Caenorhabditis elegans: one gene and its partners. The protein of the gene in region 2 interacts with the protein of the main gene of each other region in a pairwise test. Each region holds a gene or a part of one and is shown on either strand. Other genes may lie near its edges.

Evidence for each region. Proteins that work in one complex are often made in the same cells at the same time.
Region 1: the proteins of unc-97 (region 2) and rsu-1 interact in a two-hybrid assay, tested with the Caenorhabditis elegans proteins (2 studies listed by BioGRID).
Region 3: the proteins of unc-97 (region 2) and uig-1 interact in a two-hybrid assay, tested with the Caenorhabditis elegans proteins (one study listed by BioGRID).

What each region holds. Positions count from the first base shown.
Region 1 is NC_003281.10:3,468,717-3,475,401, reverse strand, and holds rsu-1 (Ras suppressor protein 1), read right to left. Parts: upstream 3,400-6,685; 5' UTR 3,394-3,399; coding exon 3,306-3,393; intron 2,840-3,305; coding exon 2,751-2,839; intron 2,695-2,750; coding exon 2,493-2,694; intron 2,313-2,492; coding exon 2,044-2,312; intron 1,993-2,043; coding exon 1,834-1,992; 3' UTR 1,683-1,833; downstream 1-1,682. Other genes in the region: C34C12.9 (uncharacterized protein), read left to right, coding at 1-74, 231-320, 902-1,147; smim-14 (Small integral membrane protein 14), read left to right, coding at 5,659-5,721, 6,150-6,353.
Region 2 is NC_003284.9:5,590,035-5,596,438, reverse strand, and holds unc-97 (LIM domain-containing protein unc-97), read right to left. Parts: upstream 3,307-6,404; 5' UTR 3,278-3,306; coding exon 3,135-3,277; intron 3,079-3,134; coding exon 2,966-3,078; intron 2,916-2,965; coding exon 2,795-2,915; intron 2,748-2,794; coding exon 2,595-2,747; intron 2,544-2,594; coding exon 2,300-2,543; intron 2,256-2,299; coding exon 2,131-2,255; intron 2,073-2,130; coding exon 1,925-2,072; 3' UTR 1,474-1,924; downstream 1-1,473. Other genes in the region: sulp-2 (STAS domain-containing protein), read left to right, coding at 11-278, 328-503; mec-2 (Band 7 domain-containing protein), read right to left, coding at 6,161-6,404. UniProt on the Caenorhabditis elegans protein: Component of an integrin containing attachment complex, which is required for muscle development and maintenance. Probably function in adherens junction.
Region 3 is NC_003283.11:13,288,211-13,295,635, forward strand, and holds the start of uig-1 (Protein vav), read right to left. Parts: upstream 4,183-7,425; coding exon 4,077-4,182; intron 2,507-4,076; exon of another isoform or gene 2,357-2,506; intron 967-2,356; exon of another isoform or gene 818-966; intron 1-817.

The DNA.
Region 1 (6,685 bases), on a different chromosome or scaffold from region 2:
CGAGAAATCATCCGATTCATTTGAGAAATCGCCTGAAACTACAGTATATCGAACAGGCACTGTCGCCTGATATGGTAAGTATGATTCATGAAATATGAATTTTTAATTGATTTTTTTCATTACGAATGAGTCAAGAGCTCATTGATCAGTGAAATTTGTGATTTTTTAGTATTTCGGGGAGCACAAACTGATAAGCGGAGAAACATAATAAGTTATCGATTTAATTACAGGAGTCACACGCGGATGACGTAGCACCGTGTCATAGCAGAAAAGCCTCTTCAGTGGGCTTTGTGGAGATTGATGAGCTGTTGAAGTTTCAGGTGAGATTTTAGGCCAGTCAGGGCTATCCCAAAAAGTTTTTGACCAGAGTTTTTCAAAATTATTTTCCTAATATCTAAATATTTTGTTGTTTGACAAACTACACTTTTTCTGGCTCGAAATAACGAAAAAAACAAGTTCAAAAGATCTGGAGACAATATTTCAGTCAATCAAAAACTTGCGCGTGAAATCTGATGCATTGATTATTCGATGGTCCAAATTTTCCGCACAAATTCAAAAATTCAATGCACAAAAACACACGGTGTCCACGTGGAGTCAGAAATTCCCATTTCGGTTTGATCTTCAAAAAATGCGGGAGATTATCTTACCTGATTTCGCATGGTTAAGAACGTGCTGACGTCACATTCTTTTGGGCAAAAAATTCTCGCATTTTTTGTAGATCAAACTGTATTGAGACAGCCTGACATCACGTGGGTATCAGGTTGTATTTAAATCAGTTGAAAATTCTGCGTCTCTTCTCCCGCATTTTTTTTAGATCTACGTAGATCAAGCCGAAATTGGAAACTCTGGCACCACGTGCAAAAATCACTTCTCAGAACTCCAAATAAATAAAATTTTCCAGGACGACTACAAAGTTCGCTCGTCGACAGGCTTCTACTCATCTCTCCGAAATCTTTTTTCAACTGGAAACCCTTCAACAACCACAACAATCTCATCAATACCAGAATCCCATATAAATCCAATGTTCGCAAATCATGAGAAATGCTCAATTTCGAGAAGCTTCACACATCTACCGTACCCGCCGAAGAAGAAGAGGAAAAGTCACTTGAGACGCGTTTTTTCGTGCTTTTCGATTTTTAAACATTAGGATCTATTTTATTGTGTGTTTAATAGGTACTGGTGAAGTTTTGAATTTGCGCGTAAGATATGGTGCATCGTGACTGGTGCCAATGACGGCTGTCATAATTAATTCATCCCAGTGGCCGAGTAGTCAGAATGTCCCATTTCGGTTTGATCTACGAAGATCTACAAAAAATGCGGGAGTAGAGTTCTCAACTGATTTTGCATGATTAGAGGACGTGCTGCCGTCATGCAAAAATTCCCGCATTTTTTGTAGGTCAAACCGTAATGGGGCAGTCTGACACCAGTATTGCACCGAAAACTATCAAAGACACAATAATTCTGCTAATATTATTATGTTTCGATTATTTTTCAATTTGTTAAAAATTCCCTTTACTGGTTTTCCTGGCTTCTGTCATATTTTGGTTCCCCAATTCCCCTTCCTATCACGCATAATTTTATTAATTTTTTATTACATAATCTAGTCTTACCATGAATTCTCTGCTGACCAACGCAAAATCCAAACAAGTTTTTGCATAATTTTTGAATAAAATGATGATTTTTGTCTCGATAGAATTTTATTAGTATTTCTTATTTGCAGTGTAAAAAGGCACAATTAAATGATTGAATTCAATTCAATATTGAACAAAGTAAAGCATTATTTAGGCAGCACCATGAGTAGGTCAAAAAATTTTTTGGGTTGAAATGGCAATTTTAGGCTTGTTGAATTCCTTTTCTCGATACTTTCTTCTCCTTATTTCTTTTTGGTGGAACTGGAGTTGACGATGGTTCCTGACGACCGAAGAAATATCGATAGTCGTCAGTTCTGATGTGAGCCCAGACTCCGGCGGCTCCGTTGGCCTCGAATTGCTCCTAAAATCACAGAAAATTTTTAAATAAAAAATAAATAAAATATATATGTACCTCAATTCTCGGAATAAATGGATTGTGCTCCAATCTGAGCACCTGCTTTGACCCGACCAACTCCAAATTTCCGAGCTCTGGTGGAATCATAGCCAGACGATTTCCCTGAATATGAAGCTCACGGAGACGTGTCAGCTTTCCCAGCTCTTTTGGAAGAGTGAGCAAATCGTTTTCACGGAGCACGAGGATTTGCAAATTTGTAAGATTTTCGACGTCTCCGGGGAGCATTTCGAAATCATTGTCTCCGAGGTACAAGGCGCGGAGGGTTTCTGGAAATTGGGAGAGGTTTTTTCGGAGAAGGGAACACCGGATGCCCCAGATTCAGCTTTTTTAACTGATGTAGTGTACAACATCACATTTTTCTGGGCGAAACGTTCCCGCATTTATTGTAGATCAAACTTATTCCAGTCCTAACAAGAATTTAAAATTCCAATTTTTCCCCCACTTACGCATAAAGAAAAAGTTTCCAGGCAATGATCGTTCACTCAAATTGTTGTAGGTCAAATCAAGAATTTCCAGCTCTGGGAAGGATCCGAATCCACGTGGCAGAATCGACAGCTTGTTCATTCCGACGTTAAGAATTCGAAGTTTTGGAAGAGATGAAATCGATGGAGGTAGATCCTCGATTTGGTTATTCCACAAATTCAGGGACTGCAATTTTTTAAAGATTGGATTAAGAAGATTACCTTGATGTAGGGTTGGCTTACCTGAAGACTGACCAAATCCGCAATATTTGGTGGTACTGAAGTGAGCTTGTTGTGGCTCAAAGTGAGACGAGTGATGATTTCCGCATCGACTGGAATTCAATTTTTGGAAGATTTCGAAAATTTATCCCGCTTAGGCTTAAGTCTGAGCCTAAGCGTAAGCCTAAGCCTAAGCGTAAGCCTAAGCCTAACATAAGCCTAAGATTGAGCCTAAGCCTAAGCCAAATCCTGAGCCAGCGCCTGCGCCTGCGCCTACGCCTAAACCTAAGTTTAACCCTCAGCCTGAGCCTAAGCCTAGGACTAAGCCTAAGATTGAGCCTAAGCTTAAGCCCAAGCCTGAACCTAAGCCTCAGCCTAAGAAGCAACACATTTATTTTGATCTACAGACCCAATGCACCGTATTTGACGCGCAAATTCTATTTACGATTTTCCCGCGGAGGAGCTGAGCACAGAGCAACAGCTGCTGCTCCGCCAGATCAATTTCTAATGCATACGAAACCATGGAATAATTGAAGATTTGCGCGTCAAATGTGGCGCAGAGCTCAAAAAAATGCTTACTGAGATGTGAAATTTGAGAAAACGACGAAATATTCCGATCGACATGCTCAACCTCTGTCACTTCGTCTTTCTTCTTGTCCTTTGGCATTTTTACCTGAAATTTTAATTTTTTACATCCTTTTTTTGTGGATAGGAAATGGTGCTTCGCGAGTTGATAAACGATAAAATCAGTGTTAAATATGACTATTTTCATACTTTGACATGGTGCATCGACACAAAAATTTGAAGAAATAGCAATTCCAAAGATCTTTTTCACTTTCTCACTTTCTAATCCTCTATTAAATATAATTGCGGAAGAACTAGCAAAAAAATGGGAAAAAAAGGAAACACAGCTGGAATACCATTCAAGGGGATTCCAACGAGATAGTACATGAACCTGTAAAGACACAGAGACATATATTTGTTGAGAGAGGGGACGAAAGACGAAAGAAAAAGAAGAAATGACAGCGAATCGTAGGCGGAATGGACGTGTGTGGGGTGAGATGGGGGGAAAAGGAAAGTGTGTACAGCGAGAGAGTATTACACTGTTGGAGAGACGCAGGGTGCTGGAGACATTTCAGTTTGCCAAGAGAACGATGAGAAGCAGTGAAAAGTTCATTGAGCGATGGGCGGAAGGAGGATCCTCCTTGAGGAGAAGGTTACATTTTTATTGATTGATTTTTTTCGGGCCCATATTGCGATCAATTCTATTTTTTGAAAGGTTTGGGTTTTGTGTGTTTTTTCTAGATTTTCCTATTTTTTAAAGATTTTAAATTTCTAAATTTTAATCTTCGGCATCAAAAAATTTTAGATATTAGATTTACACAAATTTTTTTTTCCTTTTTTCTTATTTTTAATCTAAAAAAACAAATTTTTTCTTCAAAATGTTCGTCTTTTGGTACACCTCTAAAGGGGCACAAGTAAAATCTAAGTGATGGGTCTCGCAACGAACTACTACTAATTTTAAGTTCTTGAGGCGCGCCTTTAAGGTTACTGAAGGCAGCATTTATTGATTTTTAATTATTTTTAATCATTTTGTCTTAAGATGGCAAAAAGCGATAAGAAAAAATTCAGTAGAAAGAGAGAAAAAGGTAAACATTTCGATTGTCTCGTCGTCTTTTTTTTTTGCTTCATTTTCTCTCTTTTTTCACTTTTTAGTTTAAAAAAGCAAAAAAAAAAATTAATTTCCTTCCGTTCAGTGCCCATAAATCCGTTTATGAAACGTCATCAATATCTCTAAGCCCTCTTTTCTCTCTCACAGTATTCCAAATAAACAAAAAAAGATGTCTCTTCCTCCCTGCCAACCAACAGCCAACGTCAGTTTTTAAAATGAAATTTTTTTTTTCTAAAAATTGGCCAAAAAACCGATTTTTAGACTGAAAAAAGGCTTTAATGTCCAAAAATAATCAAAATTATCGATTTTCGACACGCTCGTAAATTAATTAGTCTTGTCAGTTGTCGTCAATTATAATGAATTACATCCCCGAGAAAAAGTAGATCAAAGACCGGTTTATCCCTCCCGACAGATACGGAATGTGTGTCCGCTTCCGATCAAAAGGTTCTCTTTTTCTTATTTTGTAGTCTGTGTGGAGGATACACTTGGTGATTAATTATTATTTATCGGCCTAAAAAATGGTTTTATATTTTTATAATACCCAGACGTGAAATTTTGCGATTTTTGCGCCCCGGGGCTCGACACGACAATTTTCTTATTAATTGCAAAAAAGGTGTACGCCTTTAAAGAGAATTTTCAACAATTTTAATTTTTTTTTTAAATAAAAATATATTTATTTAATGAAATCGAATAAATTTTTAACAATTCGTGACAAAAACTACAAAAAAATCTATGAAAATTCCGTAACTACAACAAAAGTTCAAAATTACAGTACTCTTTAAAGGCACACATTTAAAGTCACATGTATTTGAGAGAAATGTGTCGTGTCGAGACCCTGGTACCGGTACCGTAATCGCAAAATTGGGTAATAATGCTCAAAAATTTTTCAACTCTTCAGCAACATTTTTTGGTAATTTTTTAGAGAAAAAACACAATTTAGGCTAAAATCCGGAAACAACAAAAAACTGGCCGAAATTCTAATTTCACCATTTTTTGCTCTGAAAGCATTATTTTTTCACTTCTTCAAGTCATTAAATTCATGAAAAATGTGCATGGTTTCCCATCACAACCCGTCGTCTCCCAGCTGATTTTTTGTCTGTTTTCTCTCGCAATCTCTCCCCATTGAGCAATATTTTTGTAAGGCAACGTTGCATTGCCCACTTTTTTTTATTTTTTATTATATTTTCCCGTCCACGTTCTCTGTTCGTTTCATTTCTCGATTCTGTGAAGTTCAACGACGGAAACTCGCAATTTCAGAGAATGAGTGATCCGTGTGAATGTTTCTTCGATCATGAATCTGCTATGCAAAGACTTTTGGCTATGGTAAGGGAAATAATTATGGAAATATTCGGGGTTTAGCGCGAAATTTGCCAATACAATTTAAAAAAAACAAATTTTCGGCTCTCGACTCGATAAATTTGATATGAAATGCTAAAAGGTGTGCGCATTTAAAGAGTACTGTAGTTTCAAACGTTTTTCTGTTTTTATCGCTTTCTTCTGGTTCAAAAAATTATTATATTTTTGTCGAAAAACTACTAAAAATCTATGAAAATTCCGCAGCAACTAAACTTTGAAACTACAGTACCCTTTAAAGGCGCACGCCTTTTTCGCAGTTAACAAAAAAATAAAAAATTGTCGTGTCGAGACCCCGACGCACAAAATCACAACATATCGTATCTGAATACCCATTGCAAATCGTCATAAAACTCCAAAAAAAAAAAATGTTTTTGAAAAAAATCAAAATTTTGCAGCTCCGAAACTCGCAAGCGGACTGCACAGATACGGGTTGCGACAATGATGGTTTGAGTCGTGAAGGTGGCAATACAATGATGATGTGGACACTTTTATGGACATTTATGGCAATGGCACTTTACGTGATGAGACCCAATTCAATGAGATCTGATAGAAGAACCGCCGATGATGCAGCAATTGAAAAACCAACTGGAAGTTCTGATGTTAGTATTGTCAAGTTCGGATTTATCACAAGAGCGCAGAAAACCCGCTCCACGGCCAATTTTGGGTCTCGCCACGAAAAATTAAAATTTCGGGTGTGCGCCTTTAAAGTACTACGGTACTTTTTGCACAAGTATCTTAATTTTATTGTATTAGAGAGACGCAGAAAAAATCACCTGTGAAATCGATGTGAAAACACGCTCCACGGCTAAACGTAAAAGCTCCGCTCCCCAACAGTTGGGTCTCGTTAGGAATTTGGCGGGAAAACCGGATTTTCAAATTTTCAAGCAGTTTTCGTTGTTTTTAATGTATTCTCTATCCCAAATCGAAAAAA
Region 2 (6,404 bases):
ATTTTTCAAGGAAACATCGTTCCGAATCATTAGATTTGATGCACCACTGATTTTCGCAAACGTTGAGAAGTTTCTCGATAACGTTCGCGATTCGACATCAGCCACCACAAAAAAGAGAAGCGCGAGTTGCGATTCCCAAGAGGATATTGAGTGGAGTGCAATCATTCTTGACTGCCACACTTGGATTTATACGGATTCTATGGGGATTGCTGCGGTGAAGCAAATTAATGAAGAATTACGACAAATTCGTATACTCCTGTTGTTTGCAAATCTGAAGTGTGAGTTTAAAATTTTTAAACAATTATAACCTTAGCTGGGATATTTCAGCATCACTCCGACGACAATATGGAAATGCTGGCCTGATTGGAGAAGGGAATATTGGAAGAAATCAAATGTATCCCTCCATTCAAGATGCGCTGGATTCTGCTCACGAATTAATTAAAAATCATAAAATGTTTTTTGATTGCGAGAAAAGTATGCCGCCAGAAAAGATTGTGCCTTAGAATACATAGATCATTATTTATCAGTTTTATCAATTGATCAACTTGTTAATCATATGGGTCATAATATGTGTAATTATTGGGTCAATATTTGAAATTTTTGTTAAACTTGCTCATGCTTCAAGTTTTCAATAAAGTTACCGTAAATTGAGGTTTGATTTTAGATTTTTAAACTAATTAGATATTTGTCAATAAATAAAATTTGGAAAAAGATGGAATAACATCTATGGATTCTTTGGTCTCAATGACTGGAAAAAAGTTGCACTATAATAAGCACAACAGTTTAAAAAATCATTGAATTTTTCTGAATTTTTTAATTAATTGTTAAATTTTGCAACAAAAAAAAATAGAAAGTATTGAATTATTTTCCCATACCCGCGTAACTAAATTACCTAATTTTGATATGTTTGTTTTTTACAGTTGTGTCAGTTTTTTGTCCTTTTTTGTGATTTTTGAGTAATAACAGAATCTTACAAAATTTTAGACTTTTCCACAAAAAAAAACCAAAAAAAAAATTGATAAAAAAGAAGAATTTTGTTGGAAATTCTTCAAATAATCGATAATTGAAAATTTATTTTTTAACGAAATTAACTTCTTGGAAACTGAATTTTTTTTGTCATTTTGAATTTAAAAAAAAATCATCGACTCTATTTCATCTTTATGTAAAATGATCAAACAGAGTTTGCTGAGCAAAAAAACGATGAAAGTCGTTTTTTGTTGGAATAGCCCAATTTTTCTTTCACATTTTGAAGCTTCAACAAATAAATTCCCAAGAGAATTTCAAGTGCAATACGATCATTTCTACTGGCTCATTCGTATTTTTAGAAATTTCACAAACATTTTGACACTGGAAAGTATAATTCTCACTTAACACGTTTCAAGTTGAACCAAAAATATCTCTCCGGGCGCTATGGACTCACCTTCCTGTTGATCACTGATTACAAATTGATTGTTGATGCCGAAAAAAAGGATTCAATATTACAATACGATTTTGTTTCAATACAGTCAATATTTTTTTTCTGAACAAAAAAATAGTACAAAAATTCAGAAATCAAGTTATGCAATAATGACACCCGAGAAAAGATGCAAAGTTTTTGCGGATAGGAACACAAAAAATTTGGTCGAAAGTTATGATTGTTTTCAGAAGGCTTCTGAATCAAAAAGTAGCTGGGAAAGGGAAGGGGAAGGACAATTATGGAGCTAGAAATGAGTACAATGACATTTTTGTGTGACCGAAAAATAGTTTTGAAATATAAGGCATTTAAAAGACAAAACGGATTGATAACAATTTTCACGATGTTTTTTTTTAGCACCAAGGTATTAAAAACAATGGGAAAGAGAAATGAGCAATGGCATTTGGAAAGTATTACTTCTTTAATGGAAATTGATGAATTACGGGGACTCCTTTATTTCTTTCTTTTTTATTATTTTGGTCCAGGACTCATCGATCTTCTTTGATTTTCAACGTCGCGGTCCTTTAAGCTTTCTGAGATGCGCTTTTTCAATTCTGTGGGGAACCGATCGTAACATCGTTTGCATGTTGGTTTCATATCGAATTCATAGAATTTCGTTCTGCAATGCATACATTAATTTGTTTTCATCAAGTTCATATGAATAGTTTTGCACTCACTTCTGATCAAGTTTCTTATCACAAAAACTGCAGGAGAAACATTTGACACACCACGTTTTCTGAAGAGCTTGGAATACTTCCCCGCAACATGGATCTCCGCATTTGAAACAAAGATTTCCGAATAACTGCAACAAACTTATTAATGTTTGCTTGTTCATATTTCAAGTACCTTGTGGAAGTGCTGTTCGCAATATGGAAGTCCCTTTCTCTCGTAGTGACGATGTCCCAAGAATGGCTTCTCACAGACGGAACAGACAAAGTGCTCCACGTGCCAGTGCTTGCCGAGTGCCGCGATGACACGCTCTTCAATCGGCCTGTGACATGCTCCACAAATTGGGATACCCATGGTATCGTGGCATCTGAGACAGTAGAGCTCTCCGTTTACTTCACGAGAAGCTGTCGTTAATTCATTGCTGAAAATTTTTTAAATTCAACTCATACTGTAAAACAAGATAAATTCTTACTTGCAACGTTTGCACTTAAAGTGATAAGGATGGAATGAATCTCCACGGAATTTGATGTGTTGTCCATCATCAATCATTGCGTGGCATTTGTGGCACACATATCGTCCATGACCTGCTGCCTTTTCCCGTTCGTTACATTCGCGACAGAGAGCTCTGAAAATTGAAATTCTTTCGAGCTTCGTTTACGCTCTCCAACTTACCGTCCAGCGTTCCGTAAAAATCCGACATCGGCCAACTGTTTATTGCAAATCTCACAACAGAAACATCCCGGATGCCAGCTGGCATTCATTGCTTTAATCACTCGTCCAACGATGAACTCGTCTAGAATATAAAACATTTATGGCTCTGCGTGTCTTCTCAAAGATACTTACTGCATTTTCCACAACATGGTGAGAACAGAACATGGAAGTCATGCTCGCAGTACTTTCGTCCTTCATACTCAAAGTAGATGCCGTCTGGGAATGGCTCAAAGCATTGAGCACATCTAAAAATTTTTTTGCAATTTTTGAGTTCTCTTAATTCTAACTTATAAAAACTTACACAAAACACTCCGAATGCCATACTTGCCCGGAAGAGTTCACCATCTGATCTTGCATCGAAAAACCATCATTACAACGGACGCACACCATGTTCTCGAAGCCATGGGCGAGATCCCCGTTGATATGGTTGTGGTCGGAATCCATTCCGCCACACACCATCTATTATTGAACCACTGAAAGTTGGCCACTATGCACACAGGATGGTTTAACGACCATGGGTTTGTAAGGAAAAAGGTGGGGGTAGGAAAGAAGAAAAGAAAGCGAGCGAGTAATATGAAGACAAATATGTACAAACAAGGGAAAGCCGGAGAAAGCATATAGTGTGTATAGGTTAGGTATGTTGGTTAATCGAAAAGAGCACAAAAAGTCAGAATTTCATATCTACATTTTGTTATATGCAAAGTAAATTTTTGCATAAACACAGAAATTTCCATATTCTAAGAATCGTAAAAACACTGGAGGTATTATACGAGGGGGCTGTGAAACAGTAGAAAAGAAGAAATCCTCAAGGAAGAGGCAAATGTGCCAAAGGTATAGGATGCGACGGGTTGACATATGTGTAAGAAGAACTCGGAGGCGGTGGCGTGGAAGCTTTTGCCATTGCATTTTGTGTAAAGAATGAAAACGAACCAAGAGATAGAGATATAAGTGAACAACAAAAGTATGTGTGTGAGTGCTGCTGCACAACAGATTCAACAGGATGCCTCAGCTTCCCTGACTAACTCACAGAGGGAGACGTGTATCCGATGTGTTGATGATCAGTATTGATTGGGAACAGAAAAAAGATTCTTCAGAAACATCGGTTGGGATATCGTGTGTTTAAATGGGAAAAAATTCGAACTAGTTATTTCGATTTTTTTTTGACTTTCTATGTACTACTCTACATAACAAAATTCAGTGAAGCGGCACATTTCACGCTTCAAAATGTGATACATGTATTACACCAGATGTTTTGAGATGCAACGGAGGAAAGCAACAATGCTTCTTTTGTGGTGTTTGCATTTAAAAATAAAACTAGTTGTAAAAATGAAACCAAAAATTCAATACAACTTCTATACGGCTAAACTATAAAGTTTTGAATTATATTTAAACATAGTAATAGTTATAAACAACACCTTAAAAATGATAATAGTTGTTGAAAATCAACTTTCCTCACACAGTGATATGGGCATTTACTGGGCAAAAAGAAAGTGCGCAGAATGTACAACTAAAAAGAGTGGAAGAAAGCGAGAGGCAATGCGCGCGCGGCGGGTTGGCCGACAGCCAAGCGGGGGGTCACAGACTACGGCCGCAGACGTAACGACTCCGGGAAGAGTGCGCGATTCGAAGAGACGCATACAATCGGGTTGCGTGCGTAGGGTCACATTAATAGCCAAGTATTGCTGCTCGTTGATACTCGGAACAGGCAGGAACAAGCTTTTTCTAACACATGTTTATAGACAGTTGTGAGAATAAGAAAGGATCATCAGTTTAGATATGAGAAATCAAAAGACATGGTTGAAAAGTACGAACCCCGCAAATGTTGGCAGATAAATGTTCAGTATCTGACCTTCGTTTGTGTTTTTATATTCTTACGACTGGCCTTGATCATGAGCTAGTATCATATATCAGGATGACAAAAATCCAGAAATTGTAGCTTGAAAACAATGACTAACTTTGAAATGATGACATTATAGAATGAGGTCCTCTGCCAGTAGAAATGCCTCCACCTGCCAAACAGCTGTGCGCAGTGTTGAGAAATACCACCGCTTTTTCTAGAAGATCGTAAACCGATAACAGAGGTTTTTGGACCGACTTTTTTCGGAGCAGTGTATAAATTCTAAACTGAGTATTTTATTACACAAATCTATAAGTTTCAAAGTGAGTTTCTACAAAATGAACCAGTGTGGCATGTTCTCAAAATTTTTTAATTGAAACTCAGTGATATCGAAAAATCTTTAGCTTGTCTAAAAATATTTTTAATTTCAGTTGGAACAATTTAAAAAGTGCTCACAATTAATCCGAAAGTTAAAACATCAAATGAAAAATCTTTCAAAAATGTCCTATTTTCCCAACTAAAAAAATCTTATTTTCAGAGAAAGTAAGTAGTTTTCCATATTCTGAATTTCCATAAAAAAGTTTGTGAGCACATGCCAAACTGGCTCATTTTATAAAATAGTTGGTCTACAGTTGCCACGAATGTCTGGTGTTCATCATCCACATTTGAAAATGTTAGAAAAATATTTGTGTAGATCACAATTTTTCAATTTCCTTTTCTTGAAGTTTTTCGTTTCATAGTTTTATAGCATCTTCCTGTTAGTGAAAACTAGCTTGAAAGGGAAAACTAAACATTGAATTGTCTACACAAACTTTTTAAAATTTCTTTTAAAAAAATCAAATATGGATACTGGACACGGATCAAAACCGTTTCAAAAAAAATATGTGTGAAAAATATCATGCGCACTAAAAGGAGCACTTTCAGCAGTTCCATTCGACTTTTTTTTTTGATATATTACTTTTATTCATAAAACAAGACAAGGGATTCAAGAGATCAGATAATTTTTAATGTTCAGCACATTTGATTAAAAAATGACAGAAATGAAATATGACAACAATAGTAATGCATCAGCGTTGAATTGGAATAATAGGATAAAATTGAAAGAAACAAAAAGAATCACACAGACAGGGAGGGGAGCCGGAGCAGATCAAGATGATGTACTATCGTCTTTTTCAGCACGATCTTCTTTTTCATTTCCTGCCCAAAGTGGTTTGACCAGTGCGGAAAGATTACGGTCCATTTCGTTAAAGTTATACCGTTCCTTGATCGGCTTGCCTATCGGATCAGAAGTGCTGAAAAATTTACAATTGGAAACGTAATTGAATTGAATAACGTAATAACAATAGGAACTTATTTTTGAAACTAAATTTAGTATTTTAAACTGACTGGAGAAATTTTCCAAATAAGTTCCTTTTTTTGAAAAAAATGTGCTCAAACTCACTGTGATGTGCAGAAAGAAGCGGAAAGCGGAGAAGAAGATGCAAGTATAACTAGTAGTTGAAATTTCGGCGAGCCAATGCTTCCGCTTTAATTGAAGCCGCCGAAACGACGGACTCCCTCGAATCTGTAGAGTTCATGCTTTCTTGACTTCCCATCACTTTTCCATGCTTCGGATCTGCTGGATCTTCTTCTCGTGCTATTGGCGCCTTCCGTACTCCAAATCTTGCAACGAACTTTTTCCGCATCTCATCTTCAACTCTTACTGTCGCATTTGAATCGGTACTTCCTAGGCTT
Region 3 (7,425 bases), on a different chromosome or scaffold from region 2:
AAAATTTCTCAATACAAATTCTGAGATGAAAAATATATAAATATAAGGGAACACTATATATAATTGAATGTGTTTTGTTCAGTCAGGTGAGAAGATAAAAAGATAAAGAGGAACGTAAAGTACAATATCCTGACAGTTCATTCGCTCCCTTCCATTCCACTCCGGTTAATGAGATTATCAGTAGTCTCGGGAAAGTAAAAAGATTCCGAAAGAAAAGAAAATATGAAGGACATTCATCGTTTCTTCTTGCTTTTATAGATTTGCCCATAATCATCGTTTCTATTTCACATAACAAATCGCAATAAAAATAAAGGTTGTCATCGGTCAAAACGAAGAAATTGAGAAGAAATCGTCAAAACAACCGGATGGAAACTGAGGATTTGGAACAGTTATCAGTTGAAAAGAGAAAATGACAAAAGTATTGAACGAGAAAGAGACAAGTGCAAAGAAAATGAACGGAGTGGAGCAGCTCAGAGGTTTTTTCCGGGATTGCTCAAGTATATTTTCCAAGAGTTGATCTTAAGTGATTCGGGCGATTTTCAAGTTCGGATTATAAGAAATTGAACCGTACTCCTTGAATTGATATCTATAATTTATTTGTTTTGATTTAAATGTGGTTTTGTTTTCTCGAAACACACTTTTTTGGAAAAGACAGCGCAAAATTTAGAACTGTAAAGGCTACATACAGTAAAATGGATGTTTTAAGGTTCAAAATAATAATTTAAACAGAAAAGTATAGATCAATGAGCTGAAGAATAAATCAAAATCCAGAAGGAGCGGTTATATCATTTTCAACCGGCATCGTGTGAGAGTCCGTGTGGCTTTCCGATACTTTCTCTGCGTCTATTGATTTTCAGTTGATCTCTTGCCGCCTAATTCTCGGATATCACACGCACATCTTACGCAACTGTCGCGTAGAAATACACAATCATCACGCCAGACTCGCAAGGGGCGAGATCATGGTGCCAATACGAAAAACCGAGTAGTAGATGAGGAGGCAATCAGAGAATTAAGAACAACAACAACAATATATTGCTCTAAATCTTAAAATAAAATACTGGAATCTTGGTGTTATATTTATTCTTCACGATTGATGAGAAGAAATATTTCGAAATCAGTTTTATAATAATTCTCAGTGGCAAGGATATATAGATATTTTGGTGATATATTGAGCAATCAACAATATAATTTCAAAAATATTTGTGCTTAAATGTCGTGCAAAGCAATAATAAGTTCACTGTTTATATGGTCAATACGACTTCACTTTTTTATTTTCTAAGAGATTTGATGGTTTGGTCATTTGTCTAGCTCAAATTCAATGTTGATTCTAGCACTTCAAAAAGTATCAAAAAATAATCAAAATATTTCTTCTGAAATTTTGTGCAAAATAACAAAGTTCAGTTATTAACAACTTGGATGTCTTTGGTGTTATCAAACATTTGGTGATGTACAAATTGAAATTTTTGGCTTGAAAAAGATTCAAGGAGCAACAGAATTGAAGTGGCAGGTTTGAATTCGAAATCAAATATAATCAACAATTATTTTTTGAAAATGTGAATATCGTTTATCTCCAAACAATTCTCGAGTGCCGGCTTTTCACCGGAGCCGCCGCCATTGCCACCCAGCAGATAACAAATATTCAAATATTTTGTATTAGAAGAGAGATTATTGAATAACATTAGTCGCAGATGTTCTCCTCCACACTTTTCCGCGCACACACATTGTGGTGTAATTGTGGCTTCTAATATTTGACACTTTGAGCATTGAATGAAGGGAGGGAAAGGACGAACAAAAAAGCATTGAGAAAATGCGGCATGATTCCATTCAAGAAAATGGGCCGAGAAATATCTTGACTAAAAGACATTGATGGGTATTCTAGGATTCTGAGAGAAGAAGGAAAATGGAGGGGGGGGGAAAGATGCCATCGAAAACTGACAAATGACATTTTCTGGATGGGAGGTTGTAGTCGTTGTCCAAGTACTTTGCTACACTCAATTTGTTTAGATTACGAACTCATTTACACTTGTTTTTCGTCTATACAATGAAGAAAATGTAACTTTGGGTCAATTTTTTATGGAATTTACAATTTATAAACTATAGCTACTGACTATGATCTGGCAGAATTATTTTGTGGTGCACTTTTTGTCTTCAAAATTTGGTGATGGAAAACCTTGTATTTTGAATTTCAACTAATTACACGATGATGTAACCTATGCTTCAGAAAATTCTTGAAACCAAACAAAAACAATGCAATGCAAAATGTTCATATTCTACGCAATCGGCTGATTACATAAGAATTTTCCTAATCGAAACAATAATAAAACCGTTGCCGCGTCAACATTTAAATAGGCGCGTGAATCTGCGGAAGGGCATCAAAAGAGTTTCGGAGTGTGATGATGGACATAATAAAAATCATAATAATAATAACCATACGCATGGCATCCATGAAAATGCGCATGGGTGGCGTTTGAGGTCAACTTTTGTTGAATTATTATGATGATGTGAACTATTTGGATTTATTATATAAATTCGGAAATTTTGGAATTTCGAGTTAAATGTATATGTAGGTTTAAATGATGACTTGACTAAATTGAAATAAATAATTGTTTAGATTTTGTATGTTTTCAGAAAAAATGGAATGAAAAAATTTATAAAATGGGAAAAAAAAACTTAAATGAGTGTAACAATAAAATTTGGGATATAGTGTTTTGTTAAATTAAGACTATTAACATGAATGTTGGAGGACTGTAGAATTTAGAGAAACTAAATTTTCCAAGCTCCCAAAATGCCTTGCTAAACAAAATCGCTAGGTTGTGAATAAAATATTGACATTTAGGAAGGAAGAGAAAACTAAACAAAGGATGAGGTTATGTTTCCTAAAATTGGATTTAGTATTAGGTCATGCGGATTTTGCAACAAGCGAGAAGGATATGATTATGAGAAATGAAATTGAATTGTAACAACACGAACACGTACAAAATGATAATTTGTAAACTTTTCCTCCACCTTCTCTCTATATATCTCATTTCCTCAAGTTCTCATCAACTACTAAATCTTATGAACACTTGAGGTTCCTTCCAACATATCAAACAAGCTTCTCAATAAAATCAAACAGTTTTTTTTTCTAAACAATCTCACGTTCCAATTTCTCTTTAGTAAATAATAATTGAGAGAGGGCAAAAAATAAAATAAAAACTGCGATGGTTCGATCAAAAAGAGGTGAAAATCAGAAAAGCAAATGATTCGATGTGTGTCATCTCAACTAAAGAAAAAAAGGAAACTGTAGTAAACATCGACACGTTACACGAGAGCCAGGTTAAGAGGATGTAAAACAAACAAAACAATATGTGCCTTGATGATCGGACTTGGAAATTGAAAGTTTCTTTTTTTGTATGTATTTCTAAAGTTTTAATCGGGAGATGCGAAAATTGGTCTTGTAATACCGATGTTTGGTGAGGACTTTAAATGAGTGGGTCTCAAAGTTCGGAAGATCTTGGAAAATGGGAAAAGAGTTGGTAAAAGTTTTGCAGGTGATTTTTGCATTTCGTTTGAAAAACTTCAAAACATGCTCATGAAAATATTCAAATGGTTTACTCAGTACGATATGTTCTTCCTAAATTTACCTAGATAAAATCTGAAACATAAAAATGTTATGAAAAATAAAATAAAATTTATAATTTTTCATGACCCGTTGAATATCGACTCCCCTACGAATCAAAACATGGAACAGACAGAAGCTCAGCTACGTCACATTTGAGGTCAAATTTACAAGGATTGGGTATTTATTCTTCAATGTATGTAAGTTTGAAATAGCTGGTAGGCACGAAGGCAGTAATTTTTATTCCTATATGGATTTTTTTCGAAATTTTATTCAAAATGTCGAGTTTAGGGGAATGTTTTTTTTAAGTTTTTTGAGAGTAGAAATTATTAATATCTGATAAACTTTAGCCATTTTAAAAAAATTTAGCTTGCTTTTCTAATTGAATACTACATATTGAAAACAAAAGAGAGTTTGACAAATATGAAAAAAATCGAATCACAATAAAAAACTATTTTACGTTAAAAAAAAATCACACCTTGTAATTGAACAGTCGGCTCATCGTCATTTGCACATTCAGAGAACTGTTGCTTATCTTCGTAGTAGCTGAATCTCCTGCGGAACCAGGAAAATCCAATCGACATTGCACCTTCAGAGAGAGTAAGATTTAAATCGGTAAAAGAAACGAAAGAAAATTGAAAGATTGAACGGTAAAGGAAGTTGGCAGTTTCAAAATAAATCTTTTGATTTCTTGCTTTAATCCTATTAACTGGACTTGAAACCGAAGAAATGGATACCTAGGGTAAAAACTTGAAACAAAGTTCCACAAGCAAGGTTTTTCATCAAATTATAGCATTAATGTTCCACTTTTTTGCGTCTTGTTTTCTGGTCAAATTCTATTCGGTTTCTATTCAAAGCCGATGAAACATGGGAAATTCAGAAAATTGTGGGAATATGATCGCATCGGAAATACAAGTAATTATAGGGGGATTGACCGAAGAAACGTCGCTCTAGCGTTCAGAAACCTTCTGAACCACGCGAAGGAACAAATAAATTGGCACAATAAGAAGATGTTGAAGTCAGTGAATACCAAACGGAAGATTGAAAGTGGTGGTGGTGGTAATGTAGGAATGTAAGAAAGAAGAGTCAACTTGATACTTGTGCGCAGGGTTCGTCACACTACTTGGTCCCGTATTTACACTCCTAATACGGCCCGTGCGGAGTTTTAATACCAAACGAGAGAGGTAAACTGTGTTGCCAAAGAGCAATCGGAGGAAGATGCTCCCTTTTGAATTACCGCAATTCCTTTATTAATATGATTGCTAATAGTAAGATAATTTTCAAAGACCGTCGTTATTGCTAGACCAATGCATTTAAAATTTTTGGTTGCTCATCTGAAATTAGTAGTTTATCAATTCCAAAAATTCAATTTCTTGGCTTTTCATGAATTAACTGGAATCATCGAACAAGAATAATAATAACAAAAAAACCTCCGTTCAAAATAGGTAAGTAGCTATTTTTTTAAAGGTATTATAGGCATAATAGTAATAGAAGAAAAACGGTAGAAACCTTATTTAAAAAATTGAAAATAATTGTATCAAAAGTTATAAAACTAGTTTTTTAACAACTGTATTCTTAGAAAAAAAGCTATCCACCTCTAAACGGTCTCCACAGAATAAAGAAGAACAAGCTCATCTTCACCAAATGTTTATTGCCTTGTTTCGGTTTCGGTTCAGTTTATAAGTGGTTGGAGGATTATCGGAAAGATTCACTAGTTCTATATTCTGAATAAGAAATGTGCAAATAGATGAACAACTCTTACGGACAGAGTTCATGAATGAGGGCAATGCTGGAAAGTGTCAATAATGCTTATCAGCTTATTTTACGTTTTTTGGGCTGATGTTAAACCCTTTTTTTAGAAGTACCATTTTTGAATAGATGAACGCAATAAAAAATAATTTTGTGGGGAATACCAATGATATATTTTTTTAGAAAAGTAGTAAAATTATGTAGCATGTTCACCATTTAAAATAATTTAGTTTCGGGATTGCCAACTTTTTGCAAAGTTGAAACAAAAAGAGCTCACGATTTAAAAAAATTAGGTTTTTATTTCGCCAAAAATCACTAGCCTCGAAGCCATTTAGGCAATATGAAATCAAAAACCAAAAAGTCTTTCAAATAGCAGTTCCCTATTATTTTATGTGACTTGTCAATTGGAAAATTGTGAGAAAAGAAAAAACAAAGCTATAAATCTGGAACAGATCCAAGATCCAATGTAATCTCAAAACACAGAAAGGTGTCGAAAGAGTCAGAGAGAACGGCAAGTGGATATGCTCTCAAATGGAGTGCTCATTTGCAAACGGGGGAGGAGAGGAACCTGTTTATTTATCTGACGCATCACAATAAGACTCTTTTTCTTATTTCGATTTTTTGATTTATTACTTCAATAAGAAAAACGCACAAAAAAAGAGGCCATTGGCATATAAATGTGAGAAAAAGAAGAATTGGATGAAAAGAGTTGTGAGTGTGCGTGTGTGGCAATTAGTCCAAGTGACACTCAGCCTTTGAACATCGTTCATCGTGTATCACTGATAAATGACAACTGCCTCAGGTATTTTGGAAATCTTTTTTATCTCCGGCGGCTCTTTTGACCTACTCTGAACTTTTGCTCTGTGCTTTGGAATAGAGACTAAGAACAGGGAACTTTCAACAGAAATTGGACACTTTGAAAGCCTTGTAGACATGGAGCATATTATCTTTCGGGGTTTTTTTTTTGAAAAAGTTTAAAGTTGGTTAAGCGACAAAAATACGTTTCTTCCAAGTTTTGAAAACCGAAAAACCGAGCCTTTCCATTTTTGGACTCAGAAGTCAGAGGCTGAGGAAGGCAAAGAAAATTAATTGATTTATGAAAATAAAAGAGCACTCTTGTCTTTTCCTGCCGACAACCGCACCGGAAAACTGCACACCAGATGGGTAAAAATGATGAATTAGATTAGATCAACGGAAATGGACAATGAGATTTGCGGTACCAGAGACACAAAAACATTCGAGGTGAAAGGCTACGTGTCACTGGAATAATATTCAATGCATCAAGGGAATATGCCCTTTGTCAATTGAAACTTTTTTTGAGGGCGAACTTGGGAATGTGGCAAGCAACTTTTTGGCAATATGGAATCAGAGGATAGTTAGGTTCACTGTAATTTCAAGCTTCTTTCAGAGTTTAATATCTCATAGCTAAAAGCAAATGCAGGCAGCAGTTTGCAAAGTTGACTAAAAAAGGCAATTTACTTTTGTCTTACAGCTTGGTATAAAATTAAAAGTTAAAAAGATTCCGTTGTGAAATTGAACACATCACATCCGACAAAATTCCAAGTAAATATAGAAAAAAAAACAGGACATTCTAAAAAGGTTTGCAATTTATAATTGTAAGTGCTTCGAGGTAAAAACGGATAATTAAAAATTTTATAGTTTTCAGAACTAGTCGCGCACTTGCTCAAATATCGAGTGGAGGATATAGTTTTTTAATTTTTTTCAGAAATGTTAAAAACTTTAAGTTCGGCATTCTCAAATTTATTTTGAATTATTTGTATTACTTCTTGAGCAGTTTTCATTCATTTTGAATATTTTCTCAATCGTGAAGCCCAAAGAAAATCCTGTAGTGATTTCAGAAAATCTAACTAAGTCACACTCCCAGTTTCTAGATATGCTTCAATTTCATCATAGATTAAAAAGATAAGTGAATGAAATGTAACTCCTAGACGTTCAATAATATGATAACCTTTTAAACTCTCGACCTATTTCACCCAGCTGCCCCGTATAAAAATACGTCTATCTTCTCCGGATACCATGTTTGCCAATGCATTGTGCACAACAAAACCATCTGTCGA